Linked DNA regions of Rattus norvegicus. The protein of the gene in region 3 purifies or fractionates together with the protein of the main gene of each other region. This does not show direct contact. Links are inferred from orthologs where the notes say so. Each region holds a gene or a part of one and is shown on either strand. Other genes may lie near its edges.

Evidence for each region. The genes of interacting proteins can lie anywhere in the genome.
Region 1: the proteins of Snap23 (region 3) and Vamp2 purify together in Homo sapiens (affinity purification with western blotting; 4 studies listed by BioGRID and IntAct, with this or other methods). This does not show direct contact. The link is inferred for Rattus norvegicus from reciprocal best matches to the Homo sapiens genes SNAP23 and VAMP2.
Region 2: the proteins of Snap23 (region 3) and Vamp3 purify together in Homo sapiens (affinity purification with western blotting; 6 studies listed by BioGRID and IntAct, with this or other methods). This does not show direct contact. The link is inferred for Rattus norvegicus from reciprocal best matches to the Homo sapiens genes SNAP23 and VAMP3.

What each region holds. Positions count from the first base shown.
Region 1 is NC_086028.1:54,290,435-54,296,040, reverse strand, and holds the start of Vamp2 (vesicle-associated membrane protein 2), read right to left. Parts: upstream 3,253-5,606; 5' UTR 3,171-3,252; coding exon 3,169-3,170; intron 2,664-3,168; coding exon 2,543-2,663; intron 2,036-2,542; coding exon 1,877-2,035; intron 1,790-1,876; coding exon 1,738-1,789; coding exon of another isoform or gene 1,664-1,737; exon of another isoform or gene 1,138-1,663; coding exon 1,121-1,137; 3' UTR 1-1,120. UniProt on the Homo sapiens protein: Involved in the targeting and/or fusion of transport vesicles to their target membrane. Major SNARE protein of synaptic vesicles which mediates fusion of synaptic vesicles to release neurotransmitters.
Region 2 is NC_086023.1:166,788,271-166,793,894, forward strand, and holds the start of Vamp3 (vesicle-associated membrane protein 3), read right to left. Parts: upstream 3,253-5,624; 5' UTR 3,202-3,252; coding exon 3,200-3,201; intron 1,115-3,199; coding exon 1,033-1,114; intron 1-1,032. UniProt on the Homo sapiens protein: SNARE involved in vesicular transport from the late endosomes to the trans-Golgi network.
Region 3 is NC_086021.1:127,966,017-127,971,750, forward strand, and holds the start of Snap23 (synaptosomal-associated protein 23), read left to right. Parts: upstream 1-1,869; 5' UTR 1,870-1,973; intron 1,974-2,952; exon of another isoform or gene 2,953-5,734. UniProt on the Homo sapiens protein: Essential component of the high affinity receptor for the general membrane fusion machinery and an important regulator of transport vesicle docking and fusion.

The sequences.
Region 1 (5,606 bases), on a different chromosome or scaffold from region 3:
GGGGGTTCTGTTTTGTCCCACTCCTCCCCAAGGCAGTGATGACCCCCACACACACTAGAGCCACCCCTCCTCAAAGAACCAGATTGTGGTCAGCCTCCAGTTCTCCTGGTGGGAGGAGGCAGCAGATCAGGCAGATGGGAGGGAGGGAGACCCCCGGGAATGTCAGCTGAATGCCCCACACGAAAACTGGGGAGCAGGAATGTAGGGAGAGACCCCAAGTGGCAGAATTATTGGTCCATCATAACACACTGAACTCCAAGACACTTACACACCAGCTGGGGGAGGGAGAGGAGGGTACAAGAGGTGTGGAAAATGGGGTAAGGGAAGCAAACTAGACTAGAGGGGCTGGGAGGAGGCAACTTTGGGGTCCTAGTTCCCCAAAAGCCCAGGCTCCCCACCACCTGCAGATAATGTCGTGCAAATAAAAGTGTGATAAGAGGACCAATGGAAACTAACTCTTCCGAAAAGAAAGAAAGAAAAAAAAAAAACACAGAAGAGTGAAGAGTAATGGAACAGAAAGGAAGAAACCCAGGGAAAAAAAAAAGACAGTGTATGCAAATGATATGCTAATCAACATGTTGGAAGCTCCCAGAAAACCTTGGGATTCTTAGGACCAAGTAGGACCAGTCTTAGAGGCTCCCAAGGGATACAAAGATGCAACCTATGGAAGCCTAGACAGGTGGGGTGTTTTGTTTGTTTCTGTGGGGTTTGCTCTGTTTGGGGAGGGTCTGGAATTGTACAGGGAAGATAGGGGAAGGATTGGTTAAATCCAAGGGAAGGAGGAGAGGGGCTATTGCATAGCAGATGCAAATGAAGGGACTTGGGGCTGAACAGGAAAGAGGAAAGGGGGCAGAGGGTGAGAGAGAGAGGTGATGGGAACCTCAGGAAGGGGTGTTAAGGACAACCGGAAAAAATCTTCTAGTAATAAAACTACAAACAGACCAAATATATATAATATTATATATGTATAAATAACAGCTGGCTATTTACAGGGGGCACACACACGGACACACACACACACGGATCCAAGGGAGGGGGCTGAAAGATATGGCTGAGAGGTGGAGGACGGGCTGAGGGTGGGGGAGAGGCCCTTCTTAGGCAGGGCAGACTCCTCAGGGACTTAAGTGCTGAAGTAAACTGTGGAGAGAGAGGGCATGAGGAGGGGTAGGGGGTGGGGGAAGGGAAGGAAGAGAAAGACAGCAGTGTATCAGGCCTGGCCCTGTTCCAAACCTCCCCAGTCCCCCACTGACATCCCTTCTCTCTCTGCCTCAGTTTCTTCAAAGGGACTGCACAAGTGGGTATTGAGATCCCTTAAACGCCACGATTGCACAAAGGGGTATCAAACCTTTAAGGCACTGGCATGTGACGATAGCTTTCAAATAGTGGAGTAAGTGTATCCTGTGATTGGAGTTCAAGACCCTCAGCCTGACCTGTCTTCTACTCTCCAGTTTTAGAAACCCCAGACTGAGCTTTTAGGCTCAAAGGGTTCCTAGAAAGGCACCAGGGACCACCCAGTATTCCTATCCCCAAAATCTTACCCAGAACTACCCATAACAAGGGAAAATAAGGCTATAACACTCAAGTTGGGGCTCTACGTGAGTCAGAACTGCCAATAGCAGCAAAATGTGTTTTGGTAGAAGAGTAAAAACTAGGTCAATGACCTTCAAAGCCCCGACTCCACAGGGAAACCCTCTACTTCTCCAGGGAAAGGGCCCTGGCCACTCCTGCTCCACTCACCGATGATGATGATGAGGATGATGGCGCAAATCACTCCCAAGATGATCATCATCTAGGAATGAGAGGGAGGTGAATGAGGCGAGGTGACACCCCACTCACCCACTGGCCCTCCACCTGACCCCATCTCCTTCCCCTTTACCTTGAGGTTTTTCCACCAGTATTTGCGCTTGAGCTTGGCTGCACTTGTTTCAAACTGGGAGGCCCCTGCCTGGAGGGCATCTGCGCGATCATCCAGTTCCGATAGCTTCTGGTCCCGCTCCAGGACCTTGTCCACATTCACCCTCATGATGTCCACCACCTGGGGGAGGGGTCCACGAGGCAGGGGGGTGTGCCAAGGTACGCCTTAAGGAGGGCACTTCTTGAACATGTGCCCATTGTGGCACACATGGAACATGCACCCCGATGTTTTCAGGCTAACATGCCAAGGACATACACAGAACATGCTTAGCACACCTGGGGACATGCAAGGAGCACACATCAGGGGCATGCTGCTGCCACAGAGCTCAGATGCTCAGCAACACCCTCTATCTTTAGGGCTTGGATCAGCCTATCACCAGAGCACACCTGCCCCAGCTGGCACACCCCGGGCTAGCACAACTGATTCATCCTGCAGCCCTTCCAAGTGCAAGCTGACAGGGAATCAGAGAGGGGATACGGCAGGTCTCGGACCCAAACCCACAGGCATAAACTGTCATTACCTTCAACCCAAGATGGGCTCCCACACCTATTTGCCAGTCCCATCATCTTTCACACACACACACACACACACACACACACACACACACACACACACACACACACTCACCTCATCCACCTGGGCCTGGGTCTGCTGCAGTCTCCTGTTACTGGTAAGATTTGGAGGAGGTGCAGGGGGGCCACCCTCGCCGGCCGGGGCGGCAGGCGGGACGGTGGCAGCGGTAGCCGACCTAAGGAAGAGAAACGGATTAAGACTCCAGGCCTGGAGCCTCTGGCCCTACAGTCCGGGCTCCACCCATCCACCTGTCCATCCACAGTCCCTCCAGTCCTCTCTTGCGCGAGAAGGCACCCGATGGGAGATACAGTCACTTTAAGGCCCCAAAGCGGTTGAGCCGCGTGACCTTGAGAGACCCTCCTCGTGCCTCAATTTCCCCTCCTGTTAAATGAGGGCGACCTCCTTGATGCTGCCCGGGGTCGACCCGAAATGACTGACGGCCATGGTGACAGGGGCGGGGCGGAGGGTGGACGCTGGGTCCGCTCCCTCCTGCGGGCCATCGCCCGTGCCAGACCGCACGAGACCGGGTTCCGGGCACCAGCGCGCAGTCATGGGCACCAGCCTGGCCAGCGGCACGAGAGGCGCGGGCGGGACCCCCGTGTTTCCCAGCCCACTCCTTGGGGTGGCGGCCCGCAAGGGGCAGAACATCGCGGGTGGCGAGTGACAGGCGGCTGACTTACATGGCGGGGGTAGCGGGCAGAGGACTTGGCAGAGGCAGTGACAGCGGCGGCGGCTCGCGCTGGCTCCGACTGGCGCTGGCTACCCGGGACTGGAAGATGGCGGCCGCACGTCACCCGCATCCGGGCACTGCGGCGTGGGCGGGGCGCGGCAGGCGACACGTCTCTAGCGGACCGCGGGGGCGGGGCGCTGCAGGGCCGGGGGTCGTCTGGTTGGGTCTGTTGGCCTTAGGCTGTGGGCCCAGCTCGCCAACCCACCGCCGCCCCTAAGACACCTGACACCTGCCTCTTTTGGAAGGAACCCACAACCGAGATTCATACATCTCTTCCCCACAAATTACATCCTTCCTCATACTTGAAGAGGATACACAGGTTCTTACACCTTATAATTCGACGTCTCATCCTACAACCTGGTTCCAACACATGGTGTATGGGTTGAGGGTGAAAAACAAGAAGCGACCAAGATAGGTACCAGAGCAATACTAACTGGAATCCTGACACTGTAGTGGAGGGGGATTGTGAGAACTAATCTCGCCCATCACCCTGCAATTGAATGTCTCAAGAGAGATCTGAGGCTTCTTATTTCCTAGCAGGGTATGGGCAAAAGGAGTAACAGAGGCACACACACACACACACACACACACACACACACACACACAAAACCGGGGCAGGAGGGGGGCTGTGAAAACTGCCCCTCCTTACAAAGAACTTATGACCAGGTGTGTGTTTGGCAGTCAAAGCTTGAGCAGGCCCCACAAAAATTAGACAAGCTAAAGACTCTAGGGAGGGCCAAGACTGTCTGGTGGTGCCATAGGCTGGATCCCCACTGAAGTCAGCTGCCCCACCTCAGCTTTGATTCTAGCATACAACCCGGACTGAAAAGAGACAGTAGACAGGGTGGTCGTACCTGAAGTACTTAGGTTATAGGCACAACTTTACATGTGGATTAGTCCCAAACACATGACCTTGACAGAACCAACTGCCTCTCCCTGGACCCTAAAATTTAAGTGCATCACATATGGAGACAATATTTGTCAAATGGCTTAATCTAGATAACACTATAGGATATTATCTTAGACCTGGTCCATTCCTGACTGCTCCATTTTAAGTACACGAAACAGCCACAGCAGCTGTACACACTCCCATCCTGCATCTAGGGAGAGAGAGAACCAGGGAGCAGCTGCCTATTTAGCAAGTCTCCGGGGTGAAGGAGGCATTTTAGGGGAGGACTAGTAGCTCTGAGGTGGGAGTGCTCAACACATCCCTGAGAGAGCCTTATTCTCAGAGACAAGCAGGGTCTGGCTTTCCTCCTCTTCACTGTGGGCTTCCCAGAGCCTCCTGTGCTGCAGTGCCCAACCCCCTCCCAGCAGAAGCCCCAGGACAAGTTCTGTCATCTGAGGTGTTAGTTCCCAGCTGTCTGGGGGAGGTGAAAGAGCAGGGGAGTTTGTGCTGGGTGCAGAATTCGCTCAAGGCTGCCTCCTGCTTCCCTTGCCAGAGCAGCCATTAGCCTGGTCTTTGTGAGGCTGGGCTCCTGAGAAGAGAGGCTTTGGTGGTGGAGGGGGCTGTTCAAATCATCTGTGAGGCTCTTGTTTTCTGTCCCTGAGACCACTCTACTTTCTAATCAGAGAACAAAGATGCCACATTCCATTATTTCACGCTCAAATGCCTTAGTGTCTGGATAGAAACATCACAGAGTGGGGAAAGAGAAACTGTGAGCAGACACCCCCACCACCACGGCCCAACACCCCCCCCACCCCTGCAGGTAAGATCACAGACCCTGTTTTAGGAATTATACCCATGGTGCCTAGCCAAACAGGATATGGGAGAGAGAAAGAGAGAGAGAGAGAGAGAGAGAGAGAGAGAGAGAGAGAGAGAGAGAGAGAGAGAGAGAGACAGAGACAGAGAGAGAGAGAGACAGAGAGAGAGAGACACAGAGAGAGAGAGAGAGAGAGAGAGAGAGAGAGAGAGAGAGAGAGAGAGTCCCAGACAAATTTGAAGAGGTTAGGCCTTGGCACATTGCTGGGAAAGTTGTTCTTCCCAGTGGAGTCTGGGAACAGCAACGACAGTGTAAAAATGAAGGCACTGTGAAGGGTGGGAGGGACCCAGCAGGATTCATCTTAGGGACAGGACTGTCACAGCACAGAGCGCCCAACCCACCTCAGCAGTGTTAAGAAAGCCTAAGTTTAGATCAGTGCTGGAGGAGGAAGGAGGCTGCAGTGGAGTGACCGGGTTCACCTGGAAATGTGTAAGAGAATGTTTTAGGCAAACAGGTAGAACGGAGACTCAGAAAAGACTTGTGCTGAAGAAAATACAGTGTGCTTTCCACGGTTGCAGGGAATTGGTGGTTGACTCTCTAGGCCCTATTCCTGAAGCTCCTTTTAGGCTTAGTGGTGCCTGTTCCTAATCCCTGTGCTTGGAAGATAAGGCAGGGGAATCCAGAG
Region 2 (5,624 bases), on a different chromosome or scaffold from region 3:
TGTATTATATATGTATATGAGTGGGGACATGGTTCAACGTGGGTTTAGTTCCCAGCAGCTGACAACCTTCTGTAACTCTAGTTCTAAGGGTTTTGATGGATTCTGCAGAGACTGTTCACACCCCCCACACACACACAGTATACATGCATGTAGGCAAAAACCTCATACACTTAAGTCTTAATAAAAAGAGTATGGAAACAGTGGTCCATCTCACAGGCTCTTCACCGTGGTTCTACACGTACATACCCAAACAAAAGTTGCCATAGGACTCCACTAGCTCAAGAATTCCAGGGAGAGCTGGGACTACAGCAGTTCCACCTTCTATGGCTCCTTCGACAAATATCAGAGAAAGCTTCTACAAAGACCTGCCTATACCAGATAACTAGTAAATCCTGCTATAAGACACACAACAATTTGGGAGCAAAACAAAACCCAGCTCAGAAAGACTTGCTCCTGGCTTGAGCAATCCAATTACCCTATCTTACAAGTGGCTCTGGGGACAAACTTTCGGATATGTTTTAGGTTTGTGATTTGATAGTAGAAAAATTAGTATGAAACCAGGAAGAGTCTCCTTTGTGCTTGGCAGATGGCTTCTAGAACATTCAGGCAAAATAATCATATACATAAAAAGAAAACTAATCTTTAAGAAAAGAATATGGAAATGCTGGTTTGAGTTTCTCACAGAATCTTTACTATTGCCCTGCAAATACACATTTAGAAAGATGACTTCTGACATACTCGAAATTTATGCTCACATGTCAGTGATGCTTCCCCCCCCCCCCCAACGTTTAAAAAACAATGAGTTATGTGTGTGTCTGTGAGGGAACATGCATGTGCCACTGGAGTCCATTACAGGCAGTTTCATGGTCCAGATGAGAGTGACTGGAATCCAGGTGGATCCTCTGCTAGAACAATACATGTTCTTTCAACCCGAGACACCTTTCTAGCTCCAATGACTCTTTTTCCAAATAAAATTCTAGAGAGAATTCCCATGTGTGTTTAAAAGTCACACTTGAAACTTTAGAGCAGTACCTCATCTACTTGATTCTGTGTCTGCTGGAGTCTTCGATTACTGCCAGTGGCAGCACTGGACCCTGAAGGCACCCCTGTAGACCTGAAAGGTATAAAGTCACAGGTATGAGTACATTGTGATTCCTGGTGCCCTTGATGAGGCAAACATAATCCCGACACTCCGACCACGACATGGGAGGTGGACACAAGAGTCCTGGAAGCCTGAGGGCCAGCTCACCTGATACGTGCAGCACTGGACAAGAGATACCGTCTCTACTAAGGTGGAAAGAAGGGCTGCCATGTGAGGTTGTTCTCTGCTCACAAGTATCCCGTGGCATGTTTGTGTGTACAAACTGTTATGCTGGGATTCAGTCTTTTTTTTTTTTTTTTTTTGGTTCTTTTTTTCGGAGCTGGGGACCGAACCCAGGGCCTTGTGCTTCCTAGGTAAGCGCTCTACCACTGAGCTAAATCCCCAGCCCCGCTGGGATTCAGTCTTACTGACTCCTTATACTGCAATCATTCCTAAAGCCCTGCAGTAAGAAATAAAGGCACTAATGTGTTTTTATAATTCCTCAATAATTCTTAAGACTGTATCACTGGGGCTGGAGAGATGGCTCAGCGGTTAAGAGCACTGACTGCTCTTCCAGAGGTTCTGAGTTCAAATCCCACAACCACATGGTGGCTCACAACCATCTGTAATGGGATCCGATGCTCTCTTTTGGTGTGTCTGAGGACAGCGACAGTGTTCTTATATATAGTAAATAAATATATCTTAAAAAAAAAAAGACTATCACTTCATAGTGACCAAAGTCTGAAGCAAAATAAGATCTGTTTTGTGTCAATGAAGTCCTCTTTTTAAAAAAACTTGCTTTAAGGCACTCAGATGATTAAAGGCACTCAGTAGTCTCGTGACCTTTTTGCTGTGGCAAGAACTGCCTTATGGTTAGGAACAATCACAGAACAGCCAATGTGCTGAAGTAGTGCAACCGAGGGGTCTCTGTGAATGGGAAGGTGGCTGAAGCAATTGTCTCTGTTGGAAAGTCATCTCATGTTGGTTCAGTGAATCTGTATTTTCATTCATCCCCACTCTTCATGACTACTCTGGCTTTTAAGTCCTTATTAACTCCATTAAACTCTTCCTGTATCTAAGACAGTGCTCAACCTGTGCCTTCGTACACAACTGTCACCCCAGGGTTGACTCAACAGTTTTTTTGGGTTTTTTTTGGTTCTTTTTTTTCGGAGCTGGGGACCGAACCCAGGGCCTTGCGCTTCCTAGGCAAGCGCTCTACCACTGAGCTAAATCCCCAACCCCTCAACAGTTCTTTTAAGTCAGCACTGTGTCCACCATCAAGGACACACAACACTGATGGCTGTCTCAGAACTCAGGGTCCGAAAGTTAAACAGCTAAGGGCCGTGCTCTGGAAGCACTATGCATGTTTTTTTTTTCCTCTTTGAAGCCTGATAACTTTATGAAGAGGGTATTACTATCCTCCTCATCTTATTAAAACTTAGGATAAAACATGCAGCTGGCTGAAGTGAAACCAGGTCCACTTTAATTCTCTCATGCATGGACGGGACACAGTCATTTGCACAGCAGTCTGACCAGGTACATCTTAAGTAGTGACAACTTCGAGAAGTAGATACATCAATTCCCGCTGAAGGTTACTATTAGAAACCAATTTCAAAACAAGAGTGTGTTTGCTTAAAACGGAAGCGAAACCTTCCGCTGCCAAGGTGCGCTAGCAGCGCGAGAGCTCCTCTGAGGACGCCAAACGCTGGTCTACCATGGGCTGGGCCTCAGCTCCGGGCCACCTCCCGGGCTCCCGCTCCTGCCCCGCACCGCGGCGCAGAGGGCGAGCGCCCCCGCCCCTCTCGAGGAAGGAGAGGCAGGGTGGGGCGGCCGCTTCCTCGGTCAGCCGGTGCCCCCATCCCCGCCCTTCCGCGTCTGCCCGCCGGCCTCGAAGCACTCGGGGACGTCGCGGCGCCAAGACTCGTCCCGCAGCGTCCGGGGGCAGAGTGCACCGCGGGGCCGCCGCCCACTTCAGGGCCCGGGACGCTGCACCTAGGCCCGCGAGGCCTCCACTCGAGTCCGAGTGCCGAGCAGCAGCCACCGCGCCTGAAGCGGGTCCCAGGAGTGGGCCACGGCCCCCGGAGCCCGCCTCGCCTCGCAGCGCAGCGCGTCACTCACATTTTGGCGGCGGCGGCAGCGGCAGCGAATGGCCGAGGGTCCGTGGACTTGCGCTGCAGGCAACCGAGGCTGAGGAGATGGGCGGGGCTGCGGTGACGTCAGGAACAGGGGCAGGACCGGAACCGGCGATGCGCTCTCAGCCGCCGAGGGCGCGCCGGAAATGGGCGGGGTTACATGGGCTGTAACCTCCGGGCTGACCAGAGTAGGAGGGGCCAGAGCTTGCGCTGAAGTAGCGCCCACGCTGACGAGTGGGCGGGCTTCTCGGTGGACAAGTGGGCGGGGCTAGAGCGCGGCGCCTGCGCCTTTGGGCTGGGCTCTTCAGCGCCTTGGAATCACAGCAGCTTCCTGCAGTGTCTCCGCTGCCCTGTCTCTAGCCCTGGAAAGGCAGTTTAGAGTGAGAATGGGTGCGTTTTACATTACTATGAGCCCGCATACCTTCTCTCTGGGTCGTGACCATGTTAGAAACTGCTTATGAGCCTAACGTTCCAGAATAATCTAGTGGACCTGAGGAGACAAAGTTCTTTTCTGAGAAAGAGGCAGTAGGAAGTCCATTTGGAGTCTTGACCACAGGGTTTGGAAGAAATCCCCTCTCAGGTTCTCACATGACAAGTATTTGCCATTGCACGGCTATTACAATTCCTGAAGGGAGCCTTGGACTTTGAGAACTGTAAGTTTCTTCATTTCTGTAATTCCCTGGTCCTAGCAGAGAAGAGATACTCAACTTTTGTTCAAAGGGGGTGAGTAGTATACGTCGCAAAGAATCCAAACAGTCTCTTTAAACAGACTAAATAAGTTCAGTTGGTGGATTCATTAAGTAAAATACACCTAAGGTATTTTCCACTTCAGCGTGGTGAACTCGCAAAGGTGAGTATTGCAATAAAGCACGCCACTTCAGTGGGTACTGGGTTGAGTAGTAGATATAAAAAAAAAACATTCTAGGTAGGAGCACAGACCAACTGGAGAGTGTGGGGCTGCGCTTAAATAGTGAACAGAAACTGCAGTGGGCTCCTGGTGGGAGGTTCAGAGTGTGAAACTGGCACTTATTCTGAGGTAGATCAGAAGTGAAGTACTCCCAGAAAGATAGCAGAACTCTGCAGCGAAGAGGACTGGAACAGTAACGGAAAAAAATACCTGCAGGGAAGCCTTTGTGAGGTAAGCTGGAAAGGGTCTTTAAAAAAAAAAAAAACAAACCTACCTAGTAGAGCTGAAGAGTAGCTTAGTTGGCAGGGTGCTAGTCTTAACATCCAGTCCTGGGTCTGATCCCCTGGAACCAGATAAGACCCAGCCTGTCGGCACACCCGTAATCTCAACAGAAGCTTTTTAGGTAAACAGTTAAGAGGTTCAAGGTCATCCTTATACGTAAGCGTTGGGACTTCATGGGTTCTCTGAGCTACATGAGAAGGGTTAATGTAAGATCGAGATCCTTATCTTCCAAGCAACCCATTTAAGAAGAAAGACTCGAGGTACTGAGGAACCAGGCAGGGTAGGCAAGTGCTTTGGGAAAGTGGCTCTAAGTGAAACGCTGGGTGGGAGGACACTGTGTGTGGGAGGTGAAAAAAAAAAAAAAACAAACAAACTTCCCACCCACAACACCTTGGGTTTTAGGTCAGGTTAAAGCAAAACGCGGATGATATGGGGAAATTTTCTTCATTTTTAATTTACAGCAGGAAGAATAGAAAGCATTCAGAAAACATTTTCCATATTTTTAAGGGCAATTCAAAACATTTTGCATGGTTTCCAGCAGCTGAGTTCTTCAACAGATCCATTGACTCCATGATGCTTTACATGCACAATTAACAAAAATAAAACTTACAAAAAAAAAGAAGACATCTAGACTAGTTTTACATGCAAGTCTCAGGGACCCCCCGTTGGGCGCCAACTACTGTGTGGAACTGCCGTAAGCGACCGTGCAGCCAGAAAGGGGTTCGTCTTAATGTCTTTATTTCATTCACACAGTACAGCTGATTTTTGAATGGGTAACAAGGATAGCAATTAAATCTTCAGGAGACAGAATAAGATTAGCTATTAATTTTTATCATGAAATCCTACTCCTGGCACTTGGGAATTCAGATTATCCAAGAAAGCTGCGCCTACCTATCACCTTATTCAAAATTAAAAGAGTCACAATCAAAGAAGGTGGTCAGAAATGCTTTGTGTCAGTGGAAGTACGCTTCGACTTCACCTAGAATTCACAGTCACACTGGTAGGTTTTGACCCTACTTCTATCCCCTCCATAAGAACTATTTCTATGTAAGTCTCTATCTTCCAGAGTTTTCCAACTCATTCAGTTAATAATGTGGCATGTGAAACATTTAGTTTTGAAAAATAAATGTGAGGGTTTGAAGCAAATCCACCTAGGTCACCGCTCTGGTCAAATGATCATTCATCTGAACCATAAGCAATGGAGTGAATGTATCCAAATCCA
Region 3 (5,734 bases):
CAGTCCTATGGATTTTATTGTTAGAGGCAGGGCCTCAGGTTGCTAACCTCAACATCACTATATAGTCAGTGATGACGTATTTCTGATCTGCCTCTCTACCTCCTAATGCTGAGATTATAGGCTTCAACCACTGTTCTAGACCTCCTATCAGTGTTGTTGTTGTTTTTTTTTTCTTTTCTTTTCTTTTTTTCAGAGCTGGGGACCAAACCCAGGGCCTTGCGCTTGCTAGGCAAGCACTCTACCACTGAGCTAAATCCCCAACCCCTAGTGTTGATTTTTTAAATTATATTTTAGTATGGGTGTTTAGCCTGCATGAATGCCTGTTTACCATCCTTGTACATGTGCCTATAGAGGTTCAGGAAGGTTTGGATCACCTGGAACTTGAATTACAGATAGTTGTGAACTACCAGATGGGTGTCCTGTGGAAGAACAGCCATCTTTCCAGCCCAAAGTTTTATTTCATTTACTTACTTTTGAGACAAAGAATTACTATGTAAACCAGGCTACACAAAGATTCCCTTGCTTCCACCTCCTGAGCTGGGATTGAAGGTGCACCACCACCAACTCTCATCACTGGTTTGACTACGGCAGCTCTAACCCTATCGAGATCTTTATCTAGATCATTACCGCCCCCTCAATTTTTTAAAAATTCAACTGTTTTTCCCAGTTGAGTCTTTTCTCCCATACTAGAGTTCTTATGTCTTCATCTCAACAAAATAAAAAGAAATAAAACACATCATTCCTTTTTCTCTGACAAAGCCAGTTTCCAAAAGCATTTTATGACGTTCCCATTTCTTTCTCTTCTCCAAACTATTGGAATGTCTGTCAACTATCACCAATCCCCAGTTATTAAATTCAAAAGATATTTCTCAGACTTCTTTTATCTCTTAAGCTATTTCTTTTAAATATTTTTTTTTTATTCCTTAGATTGCCAGCATTTTGCTTTACTCTTAGAGGTGCGTGGAAGAATTCTTGGGGCAAGTGGTTTAAAACCCTCCAGTAACTCAATGGCCATAAAAACGAATTCTAGGTTTAACATTCCAAAACCTACAAGACCTTTAAAGATCTAGTTTTCTCCTTAGTTTGATCCCCAGCCCTGGTGGTGATGGTCTCAGGGATAAAAGAGCTTTTCCTATTTCAGAGTACAATGGTTTGGGAAAGAATGGATCTCACTAGGTTGTCAGTCCGGCTTTACATTCCAGAGGTCAAGTGATCCTCCAGCCTCAGCCTCTAATAGCTTGAGGACAACACGGTATGAGCTACCATGCCTTCATTTTCTTTTGTCTCAGAAAGTGAACTCTTAAGCTTCTAACGAGAGTAAATTTCAAGAAACTTCCAGAAGGCGCCGTGTTGTTGTTCCCAAAGCCTGGAAAACTCTTATCTCGTAGACTTCCGGAGGAACTCCTACTTATCCTTCGTGACTTTAAGAGCAACTTCCTGCGTCAATCTTACAGGCATTCCTCAAGGTAAAAGTTTTGCTCATTGTTGGACAAAGGCGCCTCGGAATTTCTATGACCGTATTCTGTTAATTGAAATGTGTTTACGCATCTATTTCCCTGGTTTAAAGATGCCAAAACATCCTGTAGGCTTTGGCAGTAATTGTAGTTCAAACACTAAGACGTTCAGGGCACAGCTGCCTTCAGCGAGGATGGCTGCACGAACTCCTCCCACCTTCTCTCCAACGGGAGAACCGGTAAGGTTAACGGGTGAGTTCCCAGGATCTCCGCCTGCGTGGCAGGCGATTTAAGTCCACGCCCACCCCCTGCGGTGATTGGCTCCAGCGGTAGAGGTGTGTCTGCCCCGCGGGAGCCCTGCGAGTGCGCAGGCGCACAGATCCTCGGGGCGCCTGCGCACTCTTACGCACCCTGTCGGATCTTAAGAGAGTCCAAGAGCAGCGGGGCCCGGAGAGGAGTGGCTGGAGCAGCCGGGTGAGCCTTCTGAAAAGTAGCTGAGTGAGCTGGTCAGCGGGACAGGTAGGATGATGTCCAAGGAAAAAGAGGGTGTGGTGGTGGTTCAACGTTTTGGGGGTCGGACTGGAGGGGAGAAGGGAGCTCCGGCCAGTTCTCGGTGATTGGGCCGAGAACGAAATCGCCAGGCGTTGGCGACCAGCGCGAATCCCGCACAGGAAGGGAGGCGCTATGGTGGTGCCTTGGACTTGTGTAGATAGGCTCTTCATCCCTCACCTCCAGCCTCACGGCGTTTCTCGTTAGTATTAACAGACTGTCTGGTGGCCTTAATGAACACATAGTTCTGAAATAGTTGTTAGAAGAATGACCCCGAGGCTCCTGGCGTGGCAGACTTCACTGTCTAGGAAAATTCCCTGCTTACCTTGAGTCTTCCCCATGGGGAAGCACCAAGAATATGGTCAGGCAAGAGCAATTTTTTTTTCCCCAATTCGGTTTGTGTGTGAGAAAAGTATCTTAAAGTACTGTTACACTTCTTTCCTTCGTTCTTTATCATTAGTCACTCCACTACTAGGAAAAACAAACTGGTGGTAGAGGAAGCGAAAAACATCCGAGTTGAGGAAAAAGATCTTTCCCTTTTGCTGTTTGTCATCTGGGTAGGTTTGGGCTGGGGGCAGGGATGGTGATTGAAGGAGAGTTCAGAAACTGACAGCTTTTTGACAGAGTGTTCTCAGCCTTATGAAAATAGTATAATTTCTTACTTAAAGATATTTTAAGGATTGAAATAACTTCATCTGCCCTGCTGCCTTTTAAGAGGGTTTTGAGATGTCCAAGTAAAATGCTAATAGTTCAGTCATAGCAAGATAAAAACAGATCCTTCTCACATTCTTTTTATTTTTCTTGGAAAATACTACGCTTAAATTCTGTGAGGCTCTGGGCAGTGGTGTGCACACCTTTAGTCCCAGCACTTGGGAGGCAGAGGCAGATGGATATCTGTGAGTTTGAGTCAGCCTGGTCCAGTAAGGCAATACTTGTTAAAGCACCTTTTTTTTTTTTTTTTTTTTTTTTTTTAAAGAAATGATCTCACTATATAGCTCAGGCTGGCCTGGAACTCAGTCTCTCAAGTGCTGAAATTAAAGACATGCACACTCACACCCTCCCCCCACAATGCTTCTGGAATAGGTCATATTAAAGTAAGTTAAATGGTTAAATTTAGCCTTTACCTTAAATAATTATCATTCTCAGTAGGACCTTTTGTTTTATTTTGATTTTTAGGTGGCTTCTTTTTGGGTGGGGTCCCCTTTCTACATTGTAGCAACTTATAAAACCAAGTGAAATTGGGCCAGAATTGGGAGTGAGTGACTAGAGTTCCAGGTGAGAGTCCAGTGACACCCCATCTTCTATCAGGGAACATCAACAGGCCCATCCAGAGAGTCTTTTGTGAGTAATTCCAGTTGTTCTGATTAAGATGGTAATGGTTATTTATGCTCTGAGAACAGTGTTCCATAATAACATATTTAATACTTCTGAGGCGGTTATATAGGCCAGCCCCAGTGACCTCACGAAACCCCATCTCAAAACAACAATCAAACAATAGACATATATTAGTTCTTTCAGTCTCTTAGTTCTCTCAGTCTGGTGGTGGTTTGCGATATGAGCTCTCAGCTATTGCTCAAGCTTCCTCTCTTCCTGCTGCCTTGCTCCTTGGCCATGATGGTCAAATAAATGCTTTCTTCTGTAAGTTGCTCTGCTTACAGTCTTTTGCTCCAGCAATAGTAAAAGTGTACCAAGACAGAAGCTAGTACTGTTTAGACGAGGATAATGGGGTTTAGTGCATGGCCAAATGCATGAATATTCTAGATACCATATTAGAAATGAAATGTAGCTCCAGTGTGATGATGGATGCCAATAGGCCAGACACCTAGAAGGTTGGCACAAGGGATCAGGAATGCAACACCAACTTGTTACGTAGGATTTGAATTATTTTTATTACAGATAGTTATTTGTAGGGAGGGGTGTGCCTTGGTGTGGACTTGGAGGTTGAGGACAACTTTGGTGGATTGGTTCTCTCCTATCGTGTGGTTCCCGGTTGATTGAATTCAGATTAACAGGCTTGTATTGTTGGATGGTAAGCTCTTGCTTACCTGCTGAGCCATCTTACCAGCCATATGCAGAGAGTTTGAGACCAGCCTGGACTACTTGAAGCTCACTCACTCCCCACCCCATAAAAAATGGAATATACTAGTAAAATATAGTTCTAGAGGGAATCTAAATCAAGTTATTTTGCCTGCTGACTTATGATCTATATCTGAAGTTCTGGCTTTTTTTTTCTTTAATAAATATTTTATGTATGTTCTATCTGCATGTACACCTGCATGCCAGAAGAGGGGCACAGATCATAGTATAGATGGTTGTGAGTCACCATGTGGTTGCTGGGAATTGAACTCAGGACCTCTGGAAGAGTAGGTAGTGCTCTTAACCACTGAGCTACCTCTCCAGCCCCTGATTTATTTTCTTGAATCCATTCCTTACCATTTCTCTTTGGGTTCTAGAAGTAAACAGTGCATAGGTATGTTGCACATATACTTGTACATTTGTAGCAGAGATTCTCAACCTTCCTAATGCTGTGATCCTTTCATACAGTTCCTTATGTTGTAGTGATCCCCCCACCATAGAATTATTTCATCGCTACATCATAACTAATTTTGCTACTATTATGAATCATAATGTAAATATCTGATATGCAGGATATCAGATATACAACCCCCAAGGGGTCTCAACCCAAAGATTGAGAACCACTGATCTAGAGCTTAGAATGAAGGCACTCATGGCATTGAATGTCTTCTATCGGTTAAGGATGATCGACAAGACTTCATCTTACCTAAAGTGTATGTACCCAAACTACCCAAGGCCTTGGCTGATTCCAAGTTTATGTAGGAGTTTCCTGATTTTCTGCTCAAACGTTCGATACTAGGAGTCAGGACTGCAGGTAAAGACCGTGACTTAGCATGAGTGTCAGCACTCTGGCATGGCGCAGCGCACACCTATAATCACAGCACTCAGGAAGCCGCAGCAGGGGGATTGAAATGCAAGGCAAGTCTGGATTACATAGGAAGACTATCTCAAATCATCATCATCAAAGAAATAATATTCACTTCATTGATAACTTATACTTCTGGCTGGTACCGTGCTAAGCACTTAATGTGCATTTGATTTTAGAAACAATTCTGGGAAGAACTTTTAGTAAATCTAAAAAACTATCACATAAACAGGCTAAGTAAATTGGGTGGCTGCTCTAGGTGGGATAAGGTTCTCGTGCTGGTAGCATAGTCTAGCTTGGATTGCCAGTTTAAAATAATTTTCTCTTGTTATAAGATAAGAAACTTGGACTTTTTTCCAATTCATTTATGTTGGTTCTTCAGACAGGTTTTCACACTAGCTTAGGCCAGAATTGAAGGCTTCTTTTATCCCCAGATTGACCTCAGCCTTGAAATCTTCCTGTGTCAGGTTCACAAGTGTCAGGTAAGCAACATCAGACTGGATCTTGTTCACTCTTGCAAAACAAGTGAAAGGCACTTGATGTAGTAAGTCATACCTGAAATCCTCGCACTTGATAGGCTGAGACAGCAGGATAGTTGAAAGGCTACAGTGAGTTTCAGAACAGCCTGTACTGCACAGTGAGACCTTGCCACAAGACAGAACACCTAGAGAAAAAAATGTTTTCAAATTCTGAAGAAGTTGGTATAAACAGGTACTGCTGAGATCTGTCTGCCTCTGCCTCCCGAGTACTGGGATTAAAAGGGGGTATATCGTCGTAAGGCCTCATGGCA